2 linked regions of the Tribolium castaneum genome follow. The protein of the gene in region 2 interacts with the protein of the main gene of each other region in a pairwise test. Links are inferred from orthologs where the notes say so. Each region holds a gene or a part of one and is shown on either strand. Other genes may lie near its edges. The genes, in order: uncharacterized protein LOC659152 and hth.

Region 1 (2,909 bases), on a different chromosome or scaffold from region 2:
TACGAAATTTCTCAAAATGGCTAATTAATTTAAACAAAAAAGGTAATTCTCGTATCAAACACATTACTGTTTTGGCAATGGCAAAACACCACGTATGTCATTTCACATTGAAATAAACTTGTTCTTAAAACTGTATTTTAAGAGGAACCACACCTTACTGCCGTACTCTTATTTCAGGTTCAAGATCATTTCGATTTTTAAAGGTTACATTCTCAGTATTTTGAATAAAAATCCTTTTAACCTTTAGTGACTGTATTATATTTAGATTGATTAGATAAGGTGGGCAAGAGAATGTTGGGGAAAAAAACGGAAATAAATACCAAACACTATTAGCAGTGTGCAATTTTTTAATTTCCCAATCTGGGACGAAATTATTGTCGCAAGATCCGGCATAATTTTGCTTGAGAAATAATTAAGTGTTCATTTTCGGCATTTCCGTCTAGACTCTCGTAAATCCGGAACCAGCCCATATATTTAACCTTATGATGCAAATCCAACTTTAACAAGAGCAGGTACCTTCAAGGCTACTTTACTGCACTTTCATTTCTTTGTCTCGTTGCCAAGCAAACAATATTCAACATTTAAATAAAAATTTTATTATGAATATAATACATTAATGGACACTTGTGAACCTAAGCTACGCGACAATGATCCCTAACTACGACTTAAGCCTTCTGGAAACTATAACTGAAGCCATCTGGCGACCTATTAAGCGACAGTTTTCCAGGAGGGTAAAATCTGTGAGGGGCTGGAGTCGTCGTGTAGACGGGCTGGGGCCTGTATTGTGGCTGGGCTTGGTACTGCTGGGGGTTGTACTGGGGTTGGGGTTGGTACTGGGGCTGGGGCTGGTACTGGGGCTGCGGCCTGTACTGGGGCTGGTACTGGTCGCGGTACTCCGGGGGGTTGTACTGGGGAAGGGGGGTGTACTGGGGCTGGGGGGCCACGGGTAAGGTCGTCGGTAAGGGTTGGGGGATGCCATCCCCAGTGGCTTGGAAGCCGTGCTTGCCAGCAGTGTAGCTCACGGTGTGTCTTTGGCCGTTGGGGTCCACGTAGGAGTAGGTCCCCCGACGGGTGCCATCAGCGTCACTCTCCTCCTTGAACTGCACCCCATCCTCTTGGGAGTACTGGGCCCCGAATTTACCATCACCACTCAGGTACCTCTGTTCGTTCAGGATAGCCGCAGTTTGGGGGTCCCCATGGTAGCCCTGTCCGAAAACAGCGCCCACAAAAGCAGCAAAGACGAACTAAAATTTTGGAAAAACACTTAGGGTCCACCCAAATTTTTGATACTCACTATTCTGTTCATGATAGTGGAACTGATGGTCTACCAAAGAGGCAAACTACGACTACTGCCCTCTCACGGCGCTCTGTTAGGTTTTATACTGCCATACAACCTTGGTAAGTGCGACCCTGGAACACTCCCTGTGAAGAACTGAGCTTTGTTCATATTTAGATGCCACCGCGCGATTCCGAGATTCGGAGAGATGAAGTCAAAGCCCAAACTTTGAAACGATCAGTTAAACCCACTCATCCACCATTTGCATGCAAATCATGCACGTTTTAATCTTAATGACATCAAAAAAATGGCTTGGGCTAATCAAAATTTTTCCAAAGTCCCAAAGTCTTCGGCCTCATTTTCCAAACTTTCGTCACTGAAATGATTGCGCCAGAATTGATTAATTTCACGCGACCGCATGTGAAATATGTGCTAATTAGATCACTCCTGGCGCGGACTTCCTAAAGTTTGAGGGCATTTGCAACTCTTCAGGCTTGGAGCGAGCATAGCGTCACACTCTTGTTGCATGAACCTTGTTGAAATGTCAGTTGTTCTGACGAAAAATAACAATTTCTCGCTGTGTTTACGCAAGAAATATGCGAACTCGCATCAGCAGGTTCCGGTGAACAGTCTATTGACCTGGTTGAGGGTCAGCAAACAGGAAGGTAATCCGGTGGCCCAGAATCCGGGCGATCACGCCCAGCAGGAATAGTCAATTCGGCCCTGTTTGCGCGAAAAATACGTGACTATTATTGCGTTTAAGTAACGATAAGATCGGGATGCGCTTATATAATCGGGTCACGATTGAACTCGATGTCGTGATGCTCTCATCTGCACAGAAATTTATGTTTCTGCACTCGGTGTAGTGTAAATAACAAATGTTACACTTAGAATTTTGTTGCTTCGGTAATAATAGCGCGATATCTAAATGCAGCTTCGTCTTTATTATTGTTTGATGTAATTTATTGGCATTTCACGAAAATAATAAAGTGCACACGAGTCGTCGAATCGGAAAATAGAAGTTCAGAAAACGTGTTGTTTCTTAGAATAAATGGAAGATGAGCATTCTGAAAATTTTATTACACCAGTTTGCAAATGATTTATGCAAAATTACTGTATTATTTTCTTGGCATTACACGAAATACTCGAATGAAGTGAATTTATTGTGTTGTAAATAATTGTAATTAAAATTTTTATGTCTCTAATTGAATACGTAGCGATAAGATATTTAAAGAAGAATTTAGAAAAATGATTACTGGGGGCTTGACTGGAGGTTAAAGGTGAGCACACGCACACAAATATTGCGTTTATTGTGTGACAGAAATAGTGGAATAAATGTTTGTTCAATTAGTGTCATATGTTGTAAAAATCAAATATATCTCACGGTTTGTTCAGGTTGGTTTTTGAAGGTAATTTTTTTCCATATTTTTTGTAAATGCACCAAAACTTTTGCAAACACGCTTGGCATTTACTATTCTCTTTATTTTAAATAATGGGCGTACAATAAAAGAGTGTAAATAATTTAAATGAGATCTTTAGTAATGTTACGTTTCGTTTTTGGCTTTAAATGCTAGATTTTGAAAGAGACAATGTCTATGTAGTGTTTCGTAAATGATTTTCATTTGCGTCAACC
Region 2 (3,832 bases):
TGTCTTCTCCGACGGCAATTTAACGATCGTAACGACGTCGTCGCTAATTAGGCTCGTTGAGGCCGTCGCTAGATCGATAACACAGGCTGCGACATCGTCACAATGCACCGGTCGGGTTACACATCGGAGTCCGTCTCCCGGGGGCCCGTCTCAGATTCTCCGTATTAAAACACCGACATGTAAAAATATGGAAATTGCGCGCGGCAGAATGCGGTCCGATCAACCGGATGGCCATCGCGCATCGCTTTGCATTCGCAGCCGCATTTAAATTGCTAAAAGGGGACACTATCGAGCGGTCCATCTCTCTCGCAGCGTTGCGATATTATAATCTTGTTGCAAGGTAAATGCACATAACCGGTTACCCCAGACAGACGACGTCTTTGCCGGCCATCTTGAAACGCGGACGAATGCAAACGAGCGAGCGAGGTGGGTCCCCGAGGCAACCCCTGTATACAACCCATATCTAATCTATGTACAGCGGATCCTAATTTACGGCCTTATTCCATGTCATTAAGAGCATACGGGACGGACACGTTTTTAGGAACTTCGGACCCGACTTATCTCCGCGGACCGATAAGGAAATGTGCCTCTGGACACCTAACTTTGCCGACCAACAAAATCATAACGCTCGCTCTATGCCCATTGGGCAACACGAAAAAACCTGCCCATTATTTAGACCACTATCGTGGCTCTAGAATAAATGTACCACCAACGAGCACGTGTAGATGGCACTGAGCATTCAAATCACAACATTATGTTCGTTCCATTTGAGTTAAGTGCTGTCCGAATATGCAAAAGCAAACATAATCCCATTATTATTATTGTATTTGTGCATACAGCACTGCACCCTAAACGAAACCGGTCGCTGTAGGGAGAAAAATATCGCCCATTGTGTTTCTGTTATGCAGTTTACTCTCTTTTTTAAACACCATCGTGGTACCAAAAAAGGAAAATGTAACAACAACAACAAAATAAAATCTTTCTCTGCCCTTATTCACTCTGCCCGAATATCCCATTGGGATTTGCGATATACCTGTAGTGAAAACACTTGGTCGCTGGAGTGTGTAAAAGTAGGATGGGTCTGTTTGGACCATTAATCTTGCGTTTATTAACAAACGCATTCAGAATTAGTAGTGTGTGTTCGTTCTTTCGGAACGGTTTTTGGAAAAGAGGCAAAGCACGCTCGAAGGCCGCTCGTCTCGCTATGCAAATCAGTTTCATCTCGCTTTCATACGATGTGCCCGGCCGTTATTCTTGACCGGCTTTTTTGCGATATGTAAATCGACGTCGAGCCCGAGCTGATTGTTCTTTGTGTTGCAGGTCCATGAGTTGTGTGATAATTTCTGCCATCGGTATATCAGTTGTCTGAAAGGCAAAATGCCCATCGACTTGGTGATAGACGAGAGGGACGGAGGCAAGCCGCCCGAATTGACGGGATCGACGAATGGAGATGGTGGTGCTAGGAGTAACGCGGATTCGACATCACACACGGACGGTGCGAGTACGCCGGATGTCGTAAGTACCCATTTTTCCCAATCAAAACCATTCGCGAAGAGGTCGAAGACGTTCGTCCATTTGATCGACGTCGGGCGCGACGGCAGGGGACCGCCATTGAGTGTATTAGCTCATTTTCGTGATGCTGTTTGCGAAAGCAGGGGGAGCTCAAAGCAGGGAGTTTTGCTGGTAATTGGTGTCAATTTAGACTGACGCATCGTCGATGCGAACGAGGGATCGAGTTACATGTCCCCCCCGCATTGTGGTCTACAATCGGCTTCTTTTCGACTTGAATAAATCGCTACAGTGCTGTTCGATTCCTTTTGGACTACCTGTGACCGGAGCGAACCGCGGGGAGTATCAGACCGACAAAATAAAATCATCGTGAACAACACGGATGAGAAATGTGGCGTCTCGGTGTCGCTCCACCAGATGCTTATCGACTTTGGAAATTTCAGAGTTGTCGAATTTCGGCGCTGAGAACTCCCTGACAGCAACTATCCGAATTGCGTCTCCACTTCGGCTATTCTCAGATTGTTCAGAGGCGGGGCGACCGAACAATATCTTTTTGTTTCTCCGTTATGCGATGCATCGTGTCTTGTTGTATCATGTCGGACAATTAAGATGTGAGATTTGATTTCAAGGAAGCGATACGTCGAAGACGGGTTAGATTGTTTTGTTCGAGGTGTGACGAGGCAAAAGAGTGTCGCGCCGCTGAGGGTGTAAAAATAGCGAATGTACGGTATGCGGCTGGTGAGTGAAAGCCAGGTTGTGGTTTGGAAGGCGCTCAAAATGAGAATACTTCATAGCACGGATGGCACCGTGCTGCCAATAACGTCTCACGAGCACGGTTGTCGTCTGAGCGGGGTATAATTAACGCGGTATTTATAGTGCAAGGGCAACGATCAAGCGTGTATCATCGGTCGAAGAGCACGGCAGTTTTGACGGCATCTGCGAATTCCCGCCACAAGCGTCTCCCGCCGTATCGCCGTTTCCTTTCCTTCCTGATACAATTTGCATCGTCTCGGAATCACTTAGACGGAGGAAGGCGTCCCCGTGCGATGCTCTACGCGCCGCTTTTATTGGGGCATTATCATTTTATTGACTTCAAATAGCTTGTAAAACGCAGAGCTGCGATTCGAGAGCGAGAGCGGGAAGCGATTCCCTCGAAACGGCCTAATTCAGGAGACACTGATGGCTTGTAATCGCCCAAAGAGTTTCCCTTTCGCAAACAGGTGGATTTGTTCAATTTATTATGCGGCCGCAACCTGATACAGCTGCCGTTCCCGTCAAATACATACATCTAGGCGGAATTTTTCTCGGTCGATCAATGCTGCTGGGGGTGTTTTCGCGGCAAATGGCCACGACCCGACTGAGTTATGTGTTGCCGAGCCAGCAGAAGGAAGAGGCCGAGACGGCGGCGGGTCCATCTATCAATCCCGGTCCTTGGCAGGATTGTTTCCTGCTGCATCAAACTAATGGTCCCAGTGGCAAAAGTAAACTTCGCACGAGAAACAGTTTAATGGAATCCAGGGCCGCGGGGACCATTAAAATGAAATAGTGCGCGCGGACCGAACGGACGCCGTTCTTCTCTTCCCACCCGCCGGAATCAATCTCTCCTAAGCAGAACGGATGGTTATTGTTTGCTCCATCGAGTAACGGCCCATTAGCCCGCCGACTTCGCCCTTAATGGACCGTGATGACGGACCACTGATATTGCGATCGAATATTATGCAGGTGTCGCCAAATACCTGCTCGGTTCAGGCAAGGAGACATATATCAAGATGCAAGCGCCGCGACGCTGTCGCGAGAACGCCGGCTTGCCGCCAATAAATCACCACGACAAATTTAATTATCCTGCAGTCTGCGATAAGACCAGCCGGGTAGAGACTTGTCCTACACAGAGGAAACAGTCGTAACCCGATACGTCCTATTGAAATCAAGGTACACACACGAGATCAGCGAGCCGGCGGCTGTGTTACACCCTTCGGGAAGGGAGTGCGTGCGTGTGCGTGCGTTGGTTCCTGTCAAGGAGAGATGTCTTCAGCAGGCGAGCTTTGGCCGGCCACCGCACGTTGTTTTTGTTTGAACGTCACTGCCAGATGTTCGCAATTTGGTGGTGGTTATTATTTGTTTGTACTCCCCCATTGCATCGCGCACTCATTCAACTTACTTCTGCACGCTCCTCCAAAAGCCAACGTTAAATAACCGATGTTGTGGCTTGACGACAATCCCTTTCATGACCAACAAAAGGGTTTTTACCCTTCACGAGTCTTAATCAAAGTTAAAACACCGTTTTTATTTTTGCTTTATATTTAATTGCGCATCAAATTGGAAC

The links.
Region 1: the proteins of hth (region 2) and uncharacterized protein LOC659152 interact in a two-hybrid assay, tested with the Drosophila melanogaster proteins (2 studies listed by BioGRID). The link is inferred for Tribolium castaneum from reciprocal best matches to the Drosophila melanogaster genes hth and Cpr100A.

Annotation. Positions count from the first base shown.
Region 1 is NC_087397.1:3,976,363-3,979,271, reverse strand, and holds uncharacterized protein LOC659152, read right to left. Parts: upstream 1,444-2,909; 5' UTR 1,307-1,443; coding exon 1,295-1,306; intron 1,245-1,294; coding exon 666-1,244; 3' UTR 574-665; downstream 1-573.
Region 2 is NC_087396.1:11,400,193-11,404,024, reverse strand, and holds part of hth (homothorax), read left to right. Parts: intron 1-1,320; coding exon 1,321-1,515; intron 1,516-3,832. UniProt on the Drosophila melanogaster protein: All isoforms are required for patterning of the embryonic cuticle. Acts with exd to delimit the eye field and prevent inappropriate eye development.